Rattus norvegicus: one gene and its partner. The protein of the gene in region 1 interacts with the protein of each later gene in a pairwise test. Links are inferred from orthologs where the notes say so. Each region holds a gene or a part of one and is shown on either strand. Other genes may lie near its edges.

What was found.
Region 2: the proteins of Dhx15 (region 1) and Rbm5 interact in binary tests that used the Homo sapiens proteins (3 or more experiments, as listed by UniProt). The link is inferred for Rattus norvegicus from reciprocal best matches to the Homo sapiens genes DHX15 and RBM5.

What each region holds. Positions count from the first base shown.
Region 1 is NC_086032.1:63,002,835-63,014,542, reverse strand, and holds part of Dhx15 (ATP-dependent RNA helicase DHX15), read right to left. Parts: intron 9,650-11,708; coding exon 9,214-9,649; intron 5,948-9,213; coding exon 5,754-5,947; intron 1-5,753.
Region 2 is NC_086026.1:117,297,151-117,307,921, forward strand, and holds the end of Rbm5 (RNA-binding protein 5), read right to left. Parts: intron 7,872-10,771; coding exon 7,710-7,871; intron 6,632-7,709; coding exon 6,482-6,631; intron 6,403-6,481; coding exon 6,331-6,402; intron 5,767-6,330; coding exon 5,587-5,766; intron 5,313-5,586; coding exon 5,238-5,312; intron 4,126-5,237; coding exon 4,028-4,125; intron 3,950-4,027; coding exon 3,820-3,949; intron 2,316-3,819; coding exon 2,190-2,315; 3' UTR 1,931-2,189; downstream 1-1,930. UniProt on the Homo sapiens protein: Component of the spliceosome A complex. Binds to ssRNA containing the consensus sequence 5'-AGGUAA-3'. Regulates alternative splicing of a number of mRNAs.

The DNA of each region.
Region 1 (11,708 bases):
AAGTAGCTTAGTGTATCAAAAATATTTCTTGGTAATTTTCGCAGGATCAAGTTCAATCTAACAATACAATAGTAAAGCATATTACCAATTACAGTGAGATATACTAGATGTGGTGCTCACCTAAAAATGAAATATACCTCAATGTTCTAATAAAACAAACAAAGTAAGAACCAGGAAATATCAAGCTCCTTTGTGACACACACACACACACACACACACACACACACACACACTCACTCTCTCTCTCTCTCTCTCTCTCTCTCTCTCTCTCTCTCTCTCTCTCTCTCTCTCTCTCTCTCTCTCGGCTGAAATGCTTAGCCCAGACACCCAAACACGCCGAACAGTTTTGTTATGCCAAGTTATTTAGCCTGTTTCAAGTTTAAGATGCCTAATCAAGAAAAAGCCTAAAAATTTAACAACTATAAACAAACAATTTTTAAATACTTGCCCAATTCCAACTCTAAATTTTGAAGGCAATACTCTTTTACTCCCAGAACAACATGACAAAAAGCTGAGATTATAATTTCTATGCATTTTCCCACCAAATACTGGCACTGTGCAAACAAAGTAGGCCTTCTACAAGTAATTTTTTGCAAGTGCATAAATATTAGAAATAAGTAGGTGATCAAGTTAGCTTACATTGATAAGTCAGTAGAATTCTATTTGAAGGGGGCAAAAAGACCTGAGTTCAGTCTAATGATTAGAAAAGCCAACTTCTGACCTTCGTAAGTGGTACAGCACACTGCCTTGCATATATACAGATTAAAAAAAAAAAAAGAATCCCACTTGAAAAGTAATATTTCAGTCAACTGCTTAGTCAACTTACCAATTATTCTGTACTCCCCTGCCTAAGAGCACAAAGATCAAACTAAACCATTTAGCTTACACACTAGAGTTCAATAAGAATGGAGCCTACTACTATAAATTACTTTTAAATCGTACATATGAGGCTTAAAGTAGTAGCAGACCAGTTTTTACTTCTTATCTCAAGCCCTAAGGGCACTTGCCTACATTCACTCCACAATGACAAACATCAAATTCTAATTCATGCTAATATCCTCAACTGTAATTCAATTATTGTGTTATACAGAACTTTACATTGCTTTATTAAGCTCCTTTTAAATTAGTTTAGCTGGTAGGCACCAGTTAGTTACTTTCCTATTATTGTAAGAAGACACCAAGACCAAGACAACTTATAAATTTTTTGGAAGTTTGCTTTCAGTTTCAGAAGGCAAGGAGGATTACAGCATGCGGTACTGAAGCAGTAGCTCAAAGCTAACATTATCACCTCAAAGCTGAGGATTCAAGAGACAATGATCCACCCTTTCCTAGTGACATACCTCCTCAAACACTCCCAGGAGGAGTCCTTCCCAAATGGTCCAACTATAGGAACCAAGCACTCAAATATTTGATCCCATGGAAGCCATTTTCATTCACACTAAATCTGACTAGTAAGATTCTACAATATAGCTGGAAATATACTTCCACTACCACCAGCAGTGTGTTAGCCATGTTGACTACATAGTTAAGCTGAGTGTCAGTATATCATGACTGTACATAGATCAACACACTTAGAATCCTTGAGACAGTTATTAGCTCCTTCCTCTGGAAACTTGCAACTAATTAGTAATAGGGCTGGGACCCAACTCAAGACCTTAGGATAGAGGGATCATCTTGGTTCTCAAATTCCTCATCACTGTGCCCTGTTGGCTAATGCTACAGACTCTAAATTCTTATACAGTTAGCACTTCAGTATTAAATTTGCCAGGCAATATATCATAATTCTCAGGGTGTCATCCTTAAATGTTCCCTACCACCAAGATCGTTACTGAGTAGTGTTTGTATTTTGCTAGTAGGATCTTTTGGCTTCTTCCACCTTCTTGCCTATAAAGAACGCCTATCTTTAATATTAAAACAATCCTATAAATTTTTTTATCTAGATTGTATAAATATACTTCTTATTAAAAGTGTATTTCCTTTAAGTTTTAAATGGAGTTTATACAATGAAGACTGCCATTCATTTTTCCCTATGTTTCAACCATGTCCTTCCTCTTGTCTTTACCTTTTCTTGGCTTCCTAGCAGCTTAACCTCAAATTATACCAGACAAAATTCTGGGTAGAGTATGAGAACAGTAGTTAACAGAACTCATATCCCTTCAAAATTATACTTGTTTTATATACTAACTTCAGAGTCTCCTTTAAAATCCCAAAACTAAAGCTAATCAGATAACCAAAACAGATACCGAATGAAAAGGAAATTACCTAAATCTCTAAATCTCCATGTTCTGCTTCATCAACAGAACCTTAAAGAATTTTAGAAGGTCCTTATTATATCTTCCCCTTCTCTTAATTTTGCTAAACATTCATCAAGATTCTTATAGTCACAAGTTTCACATTCCTCTGTTGCCGATTTGACTTCCTCAGAGTAAGTGGAGAAGGGAAGAACCCACCAAGTTCCACATACAAGGCAAGCATAGGAGACAGACTCAAATTCTATCCCAAATTTGTAGCTCCACTAAGCAAGACATTAAAAATCCCACCTTTGATTATTGTCCACAATAATCTAGTTCTTTAATAACTTAAAGTAATCTGGCATAAAATGCTTATATGTTTGTTCAATGCTTAAAAGTTTTATTACTCACAAAGTAACTGTGGTACTTCCTCAAGCAAAAAACTTTTAAGTGCATGACATGGTCAGGAAGCTCAGGCAGAACTCATTTCTAGGCAATCCTAATCTATAGATATAAAGCAAAAACCAGGACAGGTAGGGCTATAGAAACCCTATCACATGTGCACATACACAACAGAGAGAGCCATACATTGTTCTGATAAACACATATATGCCATGGTTAGCCATGCTCAAACCGACACACACATTACATATTTAAAGGATTAAAAGCTAACCTTTCCCTTAAGGGAACAAAAAAATTGGGGGTGGGGGTTATCCCATATGCCTAGAATTCTGGCACCCTGTACCTCAATCTTTCTATTTGCTTCATTCAACTGGATCGTAGACTGAAAATGCCGACTACACAAAACTGAAATATGGCTCACTGGTAGATCACTTGCCTAGCAAGCATGAGGTCCTGGGTTAGACTCCACACTGTCACCAAGAAACCAACTTCTCCATCAAACGTGAATTATTCTTCCATATAAATATGATCTGCTTCAGCTATCTGAAACTTTGTATTTATATTTGCTCTTGATAGACATAAACCAGATTAATTTCTTACTACTATATATTGTCTAATACATAAAACATTGTTCAATGGCTAAAGTACTGAGTATTTCTTGATAAATAGCTGGATTCCCTCAACATCAAACTACTTCTATTGTTCAGCTGTTATCACCTCAACTACCAGTAATATTATCTACAAAGTCAACTCCAAAATATTTTTTCTACAGATTAAACTGTTCCCTTTCCAAAGTCATTTGTTCCCTGAAAATAAACTAAGAAATGTTCTATGATTTGTTACAACTCATACCAAGAAATTCTTCAATCCATAGCAATGGTATTACACATCAACGTCTTGTTCCAAACATCACGATGAATCATGATGCTCTGACATGACTGTCACAATGGCATTTATCCTTAACCCACTAGTTTTCAGACTGGACTGTTTCTTTAGATTCCTTAATGCTATGTCTGATCTCCATGTCGACTAATTTGTACAAGGTCAAATCCTCTGCCAACAGTACAATACCTAATGTAGAATTTAATGCATCTCAAACATTGAAAATATATTATGGATACCATATAGGACCAATTTTAAAGACACAAATGTAGCTTCGAACTGTCTGTCTATATTCTGAGATGTTCAAGAAAAAAAATCTTTAAAATTTAGTCTCCTCTACTATCCTTTTGTATTAAAAGTTTGACTATTTGATGAATATGTAAACACTTTAATTTCTAGATAGAAAAATAGTTAATGCAGGGTAAGGACCTGTCTATACATGCATTCTTCCTACTCAATACACAACTGACCTTCAGTTTAAAAGCTTTGCCAGTTTTTACTCTCTGGGTTTTCAGTGAGTTAATGCAAATATATCCAGGTACTTTTACAACACTTCTTAGTGAAGTCACCCTATCAATTAAAACTACCACTAACACTCTTACTACTAAGAGTTGCATTACAATTTTTCTTTCCTTGAAGGAAATAAAACACATACCCATTTCCAAGTCCATTAACAATGCCAGGTTAGTTTTAAAGGATGGTAAACAGATTGTAGAATACCAACAAGCTTAGTTTATCTAGAATAAGTTTTAAAGCTTTAATTACAAGATCCATCTTTTGAAAGTCCATCCTTCCTCTACTTCTACCAGATACACTATTAATATGGTTTGTAATTTTCTCAAAAATCCACACTGCTTTATTCCCTTTACTGTAGCTTACCGAGAAAATATGGTACATAATCAAATATTGAAAAGATACTCCTTGTAGAGATGAGGAAAAATCTATTCTTTATTTTCAAGTTCTTGATATCTACATCTTATAGAGTAATAAAAAAGCTGATTTTATGCAATATAGTCATTATACTGTAATTTCAAATCACAGATGTTATCACCTTAAGTTTTATATTCAATGAAAATGAAGATACAAGCCAAAAATACATTCCTTAAAAGTAAAAAACATAAGCTGATTAGTATTTTAAAGTTGAACTTCTATTAAAAAATTATGAAGTTCAAATGAAACCCAAGAACTTAAAAAAAGTGAAATATAAGCTAAAAAGTTAACAGGCTATCTTAATTAAAAAACTGCCTTTTCAGTTATAAATTTTAAGAGACACACTAAATATTCAAAAACAAAAATATGTACTACTTAAGATCAATGCTCAGATATGGATGAACCAAGAGCCTAAGGATGGTGGATACAGAACCTCATACTATGCTACTGTACCATTTTTCCTAATCCAATCAATCTCATTCATCTTACCACAGGGCATTTCCACACCACAGGTTCACATCACTGACCATGTATTCCAGGTTTGTTTTTTATAACACACTTGAAAACTGCACTGTGACCAAGTTATTTCTAAAACTGACTAATGTCCTATAAATGTGAATACATAAAAGCAAGAGGAGAAAGTAAGATTTGTTGGACAGCAATTATCACTAGTTAAGCAGAATGTAACTGTAAGACCCAGAAAACAACTATATAAATTAAGTTACAAGGCTCAAAATGGTCACAGAAGCAGGATCTTGAGATGGTATAAATACTTTATTACAGAACAAGATTCTTCCATGAGCTCACACATAGCAAAAACTACACAATTTTCCTTACCCATAAATAAATCACATCCCTCCCACATATCATCTGTTCTAAACATAACTTTTACTAACATTTTTACCCTTTATTACATTTAAATGAACAATCTAAAACACCACACTTTATGCTATTATTAACATTTTACACAGGATATAGCACCACATAACTAAACTGAAACAGAATTTCTTTCTTTTTTTTTTTTTTCCTTTTTCTTTTTTTCGGAGCTGGGGACCGAAGCCAGGGCCTTGCGTTTGCTAGGCAAGCGCTCTACCACTGAGCTAAATCCCCAACCCATGAAACAGAATTTCTACTGAAAAGCTAAATATACTATCATCAAGAAAAAACACTGACAAAAATCACCTGGCATGTCTATTTCATTGTATTTTAAAGCTGGCAATTCCATTAGTAAAAGTCCTTAACTAATGAAAAAAAAACAAACCAAACCTATAATTAGAGTAGTATCCACTTTAAAGATAGAGTACTTACTTAAGAATGGTTTTTGCACTACTGCAGTCTTCAAATCGAATGGAGTATCCAACTTCCTGGCCTAACATCACGTCCATCTCATCAGCAACTCTCTGAGCCACACTCATTGCAGCCACTCTCCTGGGCTGTGTACAGGCAACTCCCCTTTTGGGTCCTGGCAAGGATCGCATATACTCCACACACCACTGTGGTATCTATGAAATGATTTCACATTTAAATTATCTGTACCCTACCCACATACAAACTATATGTATCTAATACTTTATCTTACTGTAATTATTTAAAACAAAATTCAATTATGCAAAGTTGTTATGACTCGGGTTACACTAACGCGAGCACTCTAAGCCAGAAGGGCTCATGGACAACAGGGATGTAACATAATTACACTCCTGGGAAGACAAGATCCACTCAGAGGTGCTCAGTGTGCTCCGCAGTACAGCTGCACCATTAGTATTTCTAAGCAATGGAAAAACATCCAATTTAAATTCTATCCTTGAAAGAATTTTAAGTCTCAGAAGTAAAATACAGCAATGTATACTTTTGAAAATCACATTCTTAATTATAAAAATGTAGGCACAAGTATCATATAAATTGCAATCCATCAAAACGTCATTATAACCCTGTTAACTTTTCTCTCAGGAGCAGTATTATGCACAGTAACAGTACCTTAGATAACATCTTAACTAGTTAAGTTCTCAAAATCACCACCTTCAAGTTCAAAGGGACTGAGAACAGCCAAGGGGAAAAGAGAAAAGAAAATCTGAAGCTCAAGGTGGTCACTATGGTGACCAATTACAATATGCAGACATGAAGGGCTTCTCTCATAGTTTGGTTCTCTAGTCATTTAACGGAAAAGATAGGAAGATGTAAATGTTCACAACCTTAAGAATCCTCAGCTATAAGTACCTCGATCTGTCTCATCAAGGATTCTGAAATCTGAAACATTCTAATACTAAGGTATGTACAGGGCTTGGATCTCAGTGCTTACATGACGACATCTGATGAGAAATGTTGGCTGATACACTGTTATATATAATTTAGTTAATTACTTTTGCAATTTGACTAGCTCATGCATAAAAACAAATAACTCAAAGGGGAGACAATTATACTGTTTCTCCAAAGAAAATAGTGTATGTTTTTCAAGGGCCTAAATGAAGAAAACTACTAACTAACACTATCTTCCTAGTTCTGGAAACCAACAGAACCATAGTGCTTTTCTAGGAAAGCTTTAAGGATCTACCTTCATTTCACCAACCCTGCTCCAAAAGAAAAGGAAAGTAAAATAAAATCAAACAATGTGAAATTAGAAGCACTGACTAGCAGATTAAAGGAAGTTAGTCCTTAATTCTTAAAACTGTTCAGATTTAAAAAAAAATCCATTCTAATGAAATGAATGACTTAACTTCATTTTATTTGGCAGATCTCAAACTTTTAAAAGTTCTTTATACTCTTAAAATAACTAATGAGAAAGTAATAGATTTACATATTAATTCCTAATGAAACCCATCTTGTATAAACTTGCATTTTCACCCCACAAAAAATAATTTTTTCAAACTAAACCTTTCTAGTAGGATGTATTTTACATATTCTCAATTCTGATGTCCAACCTGATAGACAGCACTTAGTTCTCTTTATGTCTGTCCATCTGCACAATGCAAACTACCTTCAATGTGGCTATTAATAAAGCATGAAAAATACATATGGTTTGACTTTCCAAAAATATTAACAAAGATTGTCAATAGCATCTGAAATAGTTTAAAAATTCTACTGGCATTGATAGAGCCACATTCTCATGAATTTTTTTTTAAAAAGACATTAAATTTAAAAGTTAAGGGTTTGTTTGATACAGGGTGTCTCTCTGTAGACAAAGCTGCCCTCAACATGCTGAAATTAAAAGTGTCACTATCCACAGCTAAAAGTTTGAGTTATTAACATAAAGTTGTCCCTCAATTAAATCTTTTAATATTTTTGGTTGCTAGAATATCAAAATGTCTCTATGAAATACTCAGTTTTGATCTGTAGAACATAATTTAAAAAAATCCTAAGCCAGACACAGTGGTCCACATCTAAGGTTCAGCAGGCAAGAGGATAGCAAAACTAGAAGCCTAAATAGACTGAATAGCAAGATCCTTTCTTTAAAATAAAAAAAACGGGGGTGGGGGTGGGGGGACACCCTGAACATAGAGCTCAATGGTAGAGTACCTGCTTTAGCAGCATGTTCAATTAGAAATGTGTACCCTACATTCATAAAAATGAATGAATAAGTCAAAAAAGCCTTTCATCTTTACATATTAAAATGGGCAATTATTAAGTTGATTTCAGTATTTTCCTGTGTTTTGGAAATATTCTACCATACCCAACAACTTTTGTAATCAAAATGAGACTCTTCTCTGATGGCTTCCCAAGTGTCTATTAAATCCACAATTACTACTAAATTCAAGTTCAGGGATATAACCAAACAGCTGACGGGTGCTCCATGAGGAAAGGACTATTTGGCTACATGTAGTACGAGTGCAATAAATCTAGACATTTCAAAAATCTACAAACATACTTGTCCCTGAAGTTACTGAACAAAGCCTAAGGTTGGTATGTCAGCTCAGTGAGTTAAAGGCACTGGCCATTAAGCCTTACAATTTGAGTTCAATCCTCAATACCCATAGGATGAACAGTAACTCTCCTAAGTTATTCTGATTGACACATATGTGCTTTGGCATGGGTGTACCCATACACAAACATTCACACATAAATAGATGCAGTAGTGTAAAAAATTATAAAAATAGGCTGCACCACCTATCAACAAGATCAAGTAATGGCTTGTTCATGTTTAAAACCTGTGAGCACCCGATGAGCCCCCTTTAACAGTGTTTAGTACTACAACCCTGGAAGCAGATGGATGCAGGTCACAACCATACTTTGTACCTTGCAGCATTTCTAATCATTTTCTTCTTGTGAGACAGGATCTCATTATAGAAAACTGACCTCGAATTCGGAAACTTGCCTACCTGATTCCTAAATGCTAGAAAAGATTTGCATTATCATAACTGGCAATTTCAACTTTTTTTACACTGTTCACATAATTCGAAATATTTTAACAAATACTTGGAGTAGAAACAACTACTTCAATTGTTCAGGTTTCTCTACTCAAGCACTCAAAAATAAACTTTGTATTTCTAACTCTGTATTGTCTTAGGGTTAAAATGTGTTGAAAATTATTCCTGCCGTACCTACAAGATGAGACCATACCAGTTATTTTCCTATGTGGACTCAGAAAAACCTGAACACTCTATTTGAATCACACCCTTAAAGTTACTAAAGAGTGCTCATCAAAGGACTCTCCAAGGTACTCTATAAGACAAGACAACTGGAAATGAGTTGACAGACAATGGAAAGGACTACCAAGAACCAATCAGCACATTTAGTTTGAACATGAACGTATTTACCATGGTCTTTAACAACTCACCTGTGTTGTTTTACCAGACCCAGTCTCACCAACCAGTACAAATGACTGATGTCTAACAAGAATATCTGTAAATCTATCCTTGTATTCCCAAACAGGGAGCTGAAGACGTTTCTTTAGAATATCATAATATCGAGGAGTATGGGGCAGGTTGGTAAATGGATTAATACACTGTGGAAGTGATGTGTGTCCTGCATGTCCGGTGTGTGTTGAATGGGCAGAATGTGTAGAATGTGTTGAATGAGCGGAGTGGGTTGAATGAGCGGAATGAGAAGCTTTTAAAGGTGGCAATCCAGCACTGATAAGCATAGCATTGGTGGAAGCTCTCAATTCCTTTTCCTTTTCTTTCTCCCTCTCCCGTTCTCTGTCTCCTCTATCACGTTCTCGGTCTCGATCTTTAGATCGGTCCTCTCTATCCCGATCTCGTTCCCGGTCTTTCCTAGAAATACAAAAATTTAGAAATCAGAGTGATTTTAAACACATATCTCAATTAGTTATTAGAAATTATGACCAGATTCTTCACATACCAGCATAATCATCCTTTACTAGACTAAGTCTCTAGTTTCATCCTTCTAAAACCTTAAGCATAGCAACACTAAGAACTGACCCATAGCCTATTGAAATGGCTCAGCTCCCAAGTCTGACCACCTTAATTCAATACCCAGGACATAGCCTCAACACAAAATGCAATGTAATTAAAAAACACTTGAAGCTGGGTATAATAGCATACATCTTTAAGAACCCAACACTTGGAAAACAGAGGAAAGTGATCTCTGTGAGTTCCTTGTAAATCTATGAACCTGGATCAATCAAAATGAAATGTAATAAAATTAAAAACTTTCATAAAATACAGAGTTGTTTTAAAAACTAAGAAATTCAGAAAAGTCAATTACTTTTCTAAACTTATTTTTAAGCAGTCATTTCTGGTATCTACTACAAATATTCCTAGTGGAGTAATTTTAAGATAATTTATAATAGAAGACAAACAATATGGCTTTGAGTTGCATCTAAAGGTGGTCTGAGTAGTTAGTGATAGAAGGAACCTGTTTACTCATTCATTCAAACTTTACTTCAGACCAATTCCTTAAGTTCCCATAAGGTTTTGGGACCCAGACTAAAATAATGAGGCATTTTGGAGATGAGACAGAAATAAACCCCTAACTAAACCTGTCATTGCTCTTTACTTACAACACATAAAAGTCCATTTCTTGGGACCTAAGTCTCAATACAGCAGAGCAAGGAAGAGCACTCACTCTCCACAGTCTGATGGGGGAGTAACAGTAAAGACCTTAAACAGAACACAGCTAAAATGCTAACTAAACACAGTACTGTGTGAAAATGGTTCAGCCACAGCTGTGGTAAACTTTATCCAATCTTTTTTGTCTTGGTCAAGGTTTCTATTCCTGCCCAAACATCATGACCAAGAAGTAAGTTGGGGAGGAAAGGGTTTATTCAGCTTACACAATTCACATTGCTGTTCATCATCAAAGGAAGTCAGGACTGGAACTCACACAAGGCAAGAAGCAGGAGCTGATGCAGAGGCCATGGAGAGATGTTACTTATTGGCTTGCTTCCCCTGGCTTGCTCAGCTTCCTCTCTTATAAAACCCAAGACCACCAGCCCAGGGATGGCACCACCCACAATGGCCTGGGTCCTCCCGGCTTGATCACTAGTTGAGAAAATGACTTACAGCTGGGTCTAATGGAGGCATTCCTCAACTGAGGCTCCTTTCTCTGTGATAACTCCAGTTTGTGTCAAGTTGACACAAAAAACCAGCCAGTACATTATTCTTAAAATATGAGATTCTATTCCACATAATCTTAAGAGTGAAGAAAAGCCTCACTAGCCTGTGACTTCTCTTCTATTCTAATGTCCAGGCACACACTTGGGAGCCAGAGGTGAGTTTGAGGCCAGCCTGGTATACAGACAGTTCCAGGACATCCAGAGCAACACAGAGAAACCTTATCTAAAAAGACCAAAACCAACCACCTCCTCTCCCCCCTCAACCAACAAAACAAAACAAAACATCCCAACCCCCACCCTCACACAAAACTAAATAAAGTCTCACAAGCCAACCAAAACCCAATTCACCTGCAGCTTCATTACTACAGTAGAGAAAAAAATACAATGAAAAAAACACAAAGATTTGCTAATCAGTGAAGTGAAAATTTAAATTAAAAAAGAGGGGCATGACAACCACAAATGTTGCAATACACGCGAAGGCCTAAGACTCACTTTATCTGCAAAATGGGAACTTTCACTACAAAAGTTTTGTTCATAAAAATTCTCTAGTTGAAACAATGCTTTTAATTTTAAAGAAAATAAAAACAATCCCAATGTGGTGGTTAAAACACGTTAGTCCCAGTACTCTGGAGGCAGAAGCAGGCTGATCTCTGTGAGCATGGTCTACAGAGTGAGTTTCTAATAGCCAGGGCTATGTAGAGATGCTGCCTCTTTTTAAAAAGAAATGATGGACGGACGGATGGACAGACAGAAAA
Region 2 (10,771 bases), on another chromosome or scaffold:
GCATGGTAGCAGGAGTGGCTGAAGAACAATGTGAAAAGTCTGACAAGTAGTGTAAGAAGGGTACAAGTGTTCCTGTTAGCATGAGCAGTCAACTTAAGGCGTGAGATGGTTGAGGGAGGGATCTCTTCTCTTCTACAGGGCAGACACTGCCATCCAAGCTTTCGCGACTCCACTGAAGGTAATTAGGAGCTTCCAGAGCCATGCCACCTATACTCGCCTGAGAGCCATCATGCTGTCGCAGCTTAATTAGACTGCTTATGACTGCTGCTCAGGTGGTAAAGTCACTACCCTCTCCCTAGAGGCTTCTGTAGGTAGGAAGACTGGCTAATCGTCCCCAGGGCAGACACTTGTCCAGCTGACACATCCAGCGCCCAAGCATAGGGAATGTGTGGCCTCATCTCTGAGTGGTTGCCATGTATGCCCACACTTGGGAGTTTTGCATTTGGTCTCACTTTGCCTAGCAAAGCTGCAACACACCTCTCCAGGGAGCTACTAAGCTGGCTGGGACCGGCCCATTTAAAGTCCTTCCTATTGACATCCCAACTGTATAAGGACCATGTCTGCCTGAACACAGACTACCTTCCCTGACAACTTCACATTGGCTGTAGGAACACCCATCTGAGTCTGACACCCTCACACTTTCTGCTCAGCTGTAGTGGTACAATCATAGTTCCTGCACTTGAAGGCAATGACAAGAGGATCTTTGTGAGTTCAAGTCCTGCCTATTCTACATAAGGATTTCCAGGAAAGCCAGGGCAATATAAACTGCCCCCCTCCTCCCTAGTCAAATCAAATCAAGCAACAACCTGGAGGGACAGATCTACAGTTAAGTACTGGTTGCTCTTAGGAAAACCTGAATTTGATTCCCAATACCCACATGAGGGCTCCCAGGGGATCTGCCATTACTTCTGATACATAGGTACAGATATGTAGACATAAGAATGGGATTTCTTATGCTCTGGGCCCTAAGATCATTACCATCACATTTAAGTCTTTTTTGGACAAAATGCTTCTTGCCCTAGTGTTAAGGATAGAAACCCCATAAATGCACCACAGCACCCTTCCCTACAGGTGAGTGTTGGCACCTCCATTCCAGCAAAGGAGAAAAAAAGTAGTTTTATCTGAACCCCTGTCAAGGCAGGGAGGATCATGCCCATAACTGCAGCACTCTGGAGGCTGAGGCAGGAAGATCCCAAGTTCAAGGCTAGCCTGGGTTATACAGTGAGACAGAAAAAACAGGGACTGGAGAAGGCTCAGTGGTTTAGAGCACTTGTTCTCCTCAGAGGACCCACACTTGACTCCCAACACCCACAGGCAGTTCATAACTTCAGTTTCAACACCCTCTTGTGGCTTCTGTGGGTGCCAGCATGCACATATGCACAGACATTACTTGAATACACATAGATCTAAAGTTGTTTTTTAAAAATTAAAGAACAAAACCAAAGGGAGGTTCTATTTGGATGAGCAGTAATCTAGTCATGTAATCTCTGCCCTGGCAGGTCTAGAACCTAAATACTGAGATAAAAGCAGTCCTATCCATGCTTAGGAACTGGAAGTAGAGAGAACCAAAAGATTACAAGTACCAAACCAGCCTGGGCTAGCCTAGGTTGTATAACTCATCTCAAAAAAACCAATTGCAAAGAAAAACCATCACAGATCCAACTGTCTCAACAGCCTTTACCACCCATTCTCTCAATAAAGACACAGGAAACCCATTTTTGAAGGTATTTCTTTTGTAAAGGAGCCAGACATGGCAGCTAGACTGAAAATCTTCCAAAATTCTGTACAAATGTATAATATACAAATATACACAAGGCTATTGCCAGGAAAGGACATAACAACAATAAATGACAGTGGTGGCTTTGGTGTTGACAACCACTCCGAGCTTCTCAAGCCCCCAAGAAGCAGGGACACAACACAGGCGACAACATGTAAAACACATTATATTTACACTATATACACCTTGTATAAAAAGCCCATTGTCCCCTCTGTTCACAAATCCTTAGGTGGGAAGAAAGGTTGTTTACCAGGTAACCCACATAAGGGAGCTCATTTAAGGTAGGAGAACCCCTCAGAATGAAGTGGTTCATCCTAAAACTATTAACAGCACAAGGCATGCCCTAGAGACAGGCAGTAAGAGCAACTGAGGAGATGGCTTGCTCCCTGTGCTCAGCATGGCTTCGCCAGTCTCACTCCATCTCAGTGAACCGGGCAAACATGGCTTTCCGAACAGCATCTTTGTAGGAATCGGCACCTGACAACCCATATGCACTGCCTTTGGCTCCTAAGCCAGCTCCTTTTAGCCGGACTTGAGCCTGGGGAAACAAAGAGACTGTTAGTGGCTGATAAGCAAGGCACAGATGGACGCACCCACTTCTATCCCACCCATACCATTGAACAAAAGTACACATAAAAAGAAGGCGAGGGCTAACACTGGACCTGGAGACAATTTTAAGGACTGGGGCAATAGAAGTGCTTAAGGAAATGAACCCACTCATACTCTTGAATGCCTACTCAGTGAACATTGGTGGCTGGTAAGGTCTCTAAAGCTGAGGCCTGGGTAAGGTAATTATAGGCACAAGTTCAAACACGATGGATAATGCCAATAAAACTCCCATGCACCGGGGAAACATGCTTGCATAAAGTAAAAACAAGAAAGGCTGACAATGGTTGTGCCCCAGGGCAGTCTCTGCTACAGTTCCTGCCTTGGCCAATGGCTCTGAGCCTCTGAGCCCAGGACTGCCTCAATTTAGGCTCTGACAAATTGAGTAATTTCTTCTTCTAAATTTAAATTTTAGATGGGTAAGTTGGGGTGGGAAGTTCAAGACAGGGTCTCACTGAGTTGGCCAGTTAGGCCTCTTGTCTCAGTTTACCAAAAACAGGCCTGTACCACTGTATCTGCCTTACATTTTCTTTAAAAATTAAAAAAAAAAAATTGTCCGGGGGGGGGGGGTGAAGGAGTGGGGATGTATGGCATGGTGCACAAATGTCAAAGGACAGCTTTGTAAAGATGGTTCTCTTCTAGTTTTATGTAGGTTCTGGGGACCTAACTTAAGTTGCTAGGCTTCCCTGTTGAGCCATCTTGTTGGTCCTGGAATATTTTTTTTTTAAACATTTATTCATTTATTATATATAAGTACACTGTAGCTGTCTTCAGACACACCAGAAGAGGGCACCGGATCTCTTTACAGATGGTTGTGAGCCACCATGTGGTTGCTGGGAATTGAACTCAGGACCTTGGGAAGAGCAGTCGGTGCTCTTAACCACTGAGCCATCTCTCCAGCCCAGGTCCTGGAATATTTCAATTACTCACTCATTTCTATGTCTATGATTATTTTGCCTGCATGTGTGTCTGTGCACCACATGTATGCAGTGCCTGTGGAGGCCGCAAGAGCAGAAAGCACTCTCTTTTTTTTTTTTTCCGGAGCTGGGGACCGAACCCAGGGCCTTGTGCTTCCTAGGTAAGCGCTCTACCACTGAGCTAAATCCCCAGCCCCAGAAAGCACTCTCAAATGACAAACTATCTTTCTAAATGTTCATTTTCAAGCAAGGGCACTAGGCCTATGGCACATGTCTTTAGTTTTAGCACTCTCTAGGCAGGGCCATATACACCTCTGAGTCCGATTCCAGTCTGGTCTACATAGTGAGTTCCAGGAAAATCATGGCTACACGGGGCACTTGATCTCAAAACAAAACAAAACAAAACTCCCTCTTAAAAACAAAAGGACACAATGAGGGAGATGAAGAAGGGGTTTCAGGGGAAGTGTGCCTCTGCCTACTTAACACCCAGCACCTATGAATATCAGAGCCCATACTTACCTCAATGGGAGCCGTGATGCCTTGACACTTTCTTCCTAAGCCTGAGCCTTCCCGCCAGCCCATAGCCTGCAGCATCTTGTTGCCAATGTTACTGTGGTCAATGCCATCTTTGGTGGGCTGCTCGTAATTCCTGCCAGTGGCAAACACACAGTTACTTAAACAGCCAGAGCCCTAGCTAGTGAACTGGAAAATGGTGCACATCACATACACAGTGCCAGCATCGAACTGTTTCTTGCGCTTGGGCTCTGGGGGCTCTGGAATTCCATATTTCTCTCGTCTTTCTGCTGCTCGATCTCGGTATTTCATCTATATAGAGAATAACAAAAGGATAAGCGAGGAGGACCCTCATTTCAACTTTCAATAGCATTGTATATTCAGATGTTAACCTGTAGTAGCCTTTAACCTGGAGCCTATTAGTGTGTACTTCAATACAAAATTCCTTTGTCTCCTTTACCATTTTTGGTCTCATTGCTTGTCACTGTCCCAAAGATGAGGCAGCCAGAACTTCCCACTTCCAGGTAGCATTTGGACAGGTCTACTTCCAGAAACAGAGGCTTCCTGAAACCCACCCGGAAAACCCTGGAGAGGGCTGGAGAGATGGCTCAGCGGTTAAGAGCACTGGCTGCTCTTCCAGAGGTCCTGAGTTCAATTCCCAGCAACCACATGGTGGCTCACAACCATCTGTAAAGAGATCTGATGCCCTCTTCTGGTGTATCTGAAGACAGCTACAGTGTACTTATATATAATAAATGAATAAATCTTAAAAAAAATAAAAACAAAAACAAAAACAAAAAACCCGGAGAGCTGGCACTATACTCAGTGGGGATCAGACACCTCAGATTGATCCCGGGGCGGGAAACTTCTAAATGATTTTTAATGTATAGGTCTCTAGGTGCATTTACAATTCTATCTGGCCCTATCTCATCAACCAGTAATCCCACAGGCATTACAGACTAATAAATCTTTGTTCTCCGCCCCATTTACCATGTACAGCCCACTCCTCCCTTCTACATGACTGGGAAACCATCACATGCTTTCCTGTCTTCAGTGCCTGATTTGAAGCCTTCCTCACCATTCAGGAACGCTTATGTTAGCAGGACAAACAAGGAAACACATGTTTTCCTTAATTAAATCCACTGCTGGGCTCACAAAACACACGCTAGTCCAGTTACATGAGGTACAATGGCTGGATGACAAAGTGTTTTTGATATATCCTTCCATTTTGCTTAGGAACTTGGAATTAAAGCAAAATGGTGTGGTCATATAGGCCTACAGTGGTAACTACTTGGAAAGCGTGAGCCTAAGAGGTCAGGGCCAACCTGTGAACGTAGCAAGACTCCATCTAAACAAACAAAACACAAAGTACTGAAGGCAGGTATGCTAGGATTCTCATCCAAACACAGTGTCCAAGTACTCACCTCTCTCTCTCTCAGCTCCAGGGCTTCCAACTCCTGCTCGCTCAGCCTGGATCTTCGGTAGATGTCCATATTTTGCTGTTACAAGAGAGTTTACAGACACATTTAGAATTCAGACCACTTTAATATGAAATGTCCTAACATTAGTACTTTGTATTATATTCTGGCCAAATCTCACTACATGATTAGCATCCAAACCAAATCCAGGAGTGTGTGAAGGTAAAGTGAGTCTCTTACCTCCTATGACACCAGGCACCTATGCAACAGATGGGTATTCACTGAACCTCACCAGGGCCATCACTCCCACCACTAAATTCCCTCCCTTCCCCAATAGCAAGACAAGTTAGGCCACCTTGTGTAAATCAGAGAGCTGCTGGTGCCTGACCAGGGCATCTCTGTTTGGGAACTGCCGTCGGCACAGCAGGCAGGCCATCTTCTTCCAGTCAGCTAGTTTCTCTTCCTCACTCTCAAGTCTCTCTACCAGCTCTTCCTCATTGTCACTGTCACCACTGTAAGCTGCAACCAGACCTCTCTGGAGACAAAATGACAATGGGTCACTGGAAATTCCACAGATAAAACAGCCAAAAGGTGAGAGAATCTCTATTGCTCTGTGTTGTCTTTCAGTAAACAACACTTCATCAACTGCCTGGAACAGCCTTCTGGAAACAATCCCATGAAGCCCAAGAAATGGTTTCTTAGATGACTGTTTTCAAACCACTGAGCATGCATAAAAACTCCAAACACAACAACAGATCAGAGCAACGGCCCAGCTAGCCCAGTATCTATCAAGAAAGTAAGTTTTCACTTTGTCCTAATTTCCTTTCCAGACCATTAAAAATTCTATTTACAAATGCCTCAGAAGCCAATTTACTTAGCTTAGGGATTCAGGCTTCATTCATCGGTCCATCTCACCTGTTCTCAGGCACGAAAACAAAGCCCTCAATGTGGATTCTATATGCCAAAGCTGTTCCAAATACCCACTGACAGAGAAAAGCATCCCATTTTAAGAGGGAATTGCATTAGCCAAGATGTAGCAGAAACTCAAAGTGAGACATAAACCACACAGCTGGTTAGACCACAGGTGGCACTTCCTTACTTTGAGGGGATTTTCCTCATCTCCATTTCGCACCAATTCAGGGATGAGTTGCTGCCTTTCAGCTAAGGCTCCCTGGAAAACAGAACATGCCATAAGCCACAACGGTTACAGAAACAGCCATTACGAAGTATGGCTCCTCCCGTTACCATACCTTCTTCTCAAAAAGAGCAAAGCCAGCATCTGCTGCAGCAGATTCTCTCCTTTCTTCTTCTCTCAATGAATTGACAGGTTGAAAGCTGTTTTTAAAATTTTCTTTCTGCTTATTTAAACTCTTAGCCCAGCGTTCCATGTCTTTGGCAATCTATTATCAAACAACAAACACCATCAAAAAGCACTTACCTCTCTGTGATCTAACAATAAATAAGCCAACAAGAATCTTACATTGTGGGGTTGGGGATTTGGCTCAGTGGTAGAGCGCTTGCCTAGCAAACGCAAGGCCCTGGGTTCGGTCCCCAGCTCCGGAAAAAAAAAGAATCTTACATTGTGAAACTCACAAGATAACTCAGTAGTAATCTGAGTTTGGTTCCTGGAACCCATGGTACAAGAGGAGAGAACCAACCTCCTTTGTTTCTGACCTCTACTCCACACACAAGCAGACAAATACATAAAGATTTATATAATATGTTAAATTATACATATGTGTATGGATCTGTGAGGCCAGGAAAGCCTGTCATATTCCCTGGAGCCAGAGTTACAGATGGAAGATCCCAAACATAAGTGCCAGGATTCCAGCTCAGGCTTCTGTGTGCAGCTTAACTGTCTCCCTGAGCCTGGATTTCTAAATGTGGGGTGAGGACAGTGCTCATGCTTGTGCACAGAGCTCTTTACTGACAGAACTGTCTTCCTGGCCTCCTGTCTCATCATTTTTTAGACAGGGATTCGTATAGTTCTAACTCACTATGGCCTTGCAGAGTTTTCTTGTTTTCTTTCAGGAGATCAGGCCTAGCACTTGAAATACTAGACAAGAACTCTACCTTGGGCTACATTTCTTGTCCAACCCAGTTTTTTATTTTTATGGATTAAATGTCAGGCAACTGAACATGCTAGGCAAGTACTCTACATTACCAGTGGCATATTTACTTTGAAACAGGGTTTTATTAAGGTGCTGATGAGAGAAAAGGTAGAAAGGAAGGAAGGAAGGAAGGAAGGAAGGAAGGAAGGAAGGAAGGAAGGAAAGAAGGAAGGAAGGGAATAAGGGAAAGTGTGTTTCTGCTGTAGCATCTTAGGTTGCTTCATTATAGGCTTGGACCAACAGGACCAGTAGCCCAGTTTTTAAGAATCCAAATAAAGCTGACTTAATTAAGTGTTACAAGCCAAAAATGAAGAATTAAGTGGATTTAAGTCTCTGAGGAACCATGGTGTCCTTGGACAGGTCATACCTGTTGAGCAGTTTTGCTCTTGGGCTTTTCTTTCTTCTCCTTTCCCTCTTTTGTGGAAGGTAGGCCAGCTTGTTGGTTAGAGCTAGACTCTGCAGCTGGCACGTAGGTCTCCTTCTCTCCATCCCAGTACAAGTACTGCTGTGTTAAGGAATTATAGTAGTACTGTAAGAGGAAAAAAAAGAATATGCAGTGACTGCAGATTTGTTGATGAAGGTTTTGTGTGGAGGAGATTGGTCCGAAGGCTATAATATGCCATATAAGCAGCTGCTCTACCACTGGCTATACCTCAAGTCCTGTTATGTTAACTTAAATATTAGGTCAATAGTAAAGCACCTCTGTAAACCCTAGCACTCCGGAGCCTTGGGCAGGATGACTACAATTGTAAAGTCAGTTTAGGCTATAGAGTTGAGAACTTATCTGAAAAACCAAACAGAAATCCAAGTAAGTCTGGTCTGGACACTCGTCTGTAAACCTAGCATTTGGGAGGTGGAAGCAGAAGGATCAGGATTTCATTCTCAGTTACAAAGGGAGTCTTTTTTTTTTTTTTTGGTTCTTTTTTTTGGAGCTGGGGACCGAACCCAGGGCCTTGCGCTTCCTAGGCAAGCGCTCTGCCACTGAGCCAAATCCCCAACCCCACAAAGGGAGTCTTAAGCCAGATGCATTTCAACACAACTAGCGAAAACAAAACCAAAACAAACCAATCCCCAAAACAAAAACAAAATATACCTAGGACTAGTGATAAAGTGATATAGAACACCTTGGTATGCATGAGGATGCACTAGCTAGTAAAGCATGAAACTTCTAGAAAAAGTAGATTACTTCTTCTCAAGAATAGAGGGTTTTTTTTTGGTTTGTCTTATTTAAAAACAAAACAAACAACAGGATCTTGAGGCTGGAGAGGTAGTTCAGTGGTTAGAAACAGGAGCTAATTTTCCAGGGGATCTGGGTTTTGATTCACAGCAACAACATGGTAGCTTACAACCATCTTTAACTCCAGTTCCAGGAGATCCAATCTCTTTTCTAGTTTTTTTAGGCACTGACAACTGGGCACTCAAATGGTACACATGCAAGCAAAATACCCATAATAAAATATAAATTTAAAAGTTAAAACAGGATCTCATGTAGCTGTGCTCATATTTAATGTGTAGAAGAGGCTACCTTGAACTCCTCATCCTCCTGCTTTGACCTCAGAAACCTGGGATGACAGGCGTGTACCACACCTAATATATGTAGTTGTTTCTGAGACAGGTCCTGGGTGTCCTAGAACCATGAGACCCACCAACTTCTGTCTAGGATATGTGCTATCACACATACCCCTTTTCTTCCTTATAAAATCATGGTTAGTCATGTCTGTTTGATTGCTTATACTGAGCTCAGAGGTCACAGACAACTTGGAGCTGGTTTCTTCTAACATCTAGTTTCTGGGTTATCAGGTTTGGGAGCAAGAGCCTTTTCCCATTCTACTAGCTGGGTCTTCTATGATGTCTCTTACAGAGAAAGGAACTGTGGGATTGTCACATATATGGCTGAATGAGGGAGAACTGCCATGGAGATGTCAGATGGAACAAATGACGGAAGTGAACTAATAAGGAAGAAGCTAGGCACACAGGCAGGCAGCATATTGTTTCTTCACACTTCTCACTCAGAAACCACAGGTACTCTACACCAACTTCCTGCTAAATGTACTTGTTTGCTATGCTATAGACACAGTTCCTAGTTATAAATAGATTCTTATTTATGGAGTGTTAAAATTGCTTCCCATCCCTAAGTTATAGACACTAACAAAAATAAAATATTCCCTGACAAGCTACACCCCATTCTCAAGAATACACAAGCATGCTAAGGAAAGAAGCTAAACACAGAAGAGCACAGTTCTGAGTACATTTATAACAGGTAAATTCAAAGACAAAAATGTCTATTTGTGGGCACAGTTAAGAGCACAGATTGCTCTTCCAGAGGTCCTGAGTTCAATTCCCAGCAACCACTTGGTGGCTCACAATCATCTGTAATGGGATCTGATGCCCTCTTCTGGTGTGTCTGAAGACAGGGACAGTGTAATCACATACCTAAAATAATTTAATCTTTAAAAAAAAAAAAAAAAAAAAGGTAGAGCCAGGAAAGCTGTCCTGGTCTACAGTGAGTTCTAGGACAGCCGGGCATGAGGACTGTGCAAACATGTTGGGAATGTTCTTAATTGTGTGTGTGTGTGTGTGTGTGTGTGTGTGTGTGTGTGTGTGTATTACATGCATCTATGTAAACATTAAGATGCAATTCCCGGGGTTGGGGATTTGGCTCAGTGGCAGAGCGCTTACCTAGGAAGCGCAAGGTCCTGGGTTTGGTCCCCAGCCCTGAAAAAAAAAAAAAAAAAAGAAAAGAAAAAAAAAAAAAAAAAGATGCAATTCCCAGCACCCATACGGTGGTTAACAACCATCTATTATAACTCCAGTCCATAGCCTCAACGGACACTGTACACACAGAGTGAACAGATATAAACATAGACAAACACATGAAAAAAAATACAAGAACTCAAACACATTCACAACTCACACACTTTTATGCATATACAATATACCTCAAAACATTGGAAAAAACCCAGAAACCCCTATTATATATGTACGAGTGTTTTGCCTGAATTATACACATGCTCCATGTTTGTGTGTGGTGCCCATGGATGCCACAAGAGGGCATCAAATACCCTAGAACTAGAAGGATGGGCAGTGTCAGCTGCCATGTTGGTGCTGGGATTTGAAAAGGTTTGTGCAAGGGTAGCAGGTAATGTAAACCACTGAGCTATTCCCTTGCTCACCTCAAATCATTTCATCAGTACTGTGTGAACTGTGCATCATTTCATCAATACTGTGTGAACTGTGCACACATAAAACGTGAGTGAGGCATGATGTATATGCCGGTCAAAGGGCAACTGGGGGAGTTGGCTTTCGTCTGCCACTCTTGGTTCTAGGGATCAAATTCAGGTTGTTAGGCTTGCATGGCGAACACTTTTGCCCACTGAGGCATCTCATTGGGTATGTAAACATTTTTTAACCCTAAATCCTGAAATGAAA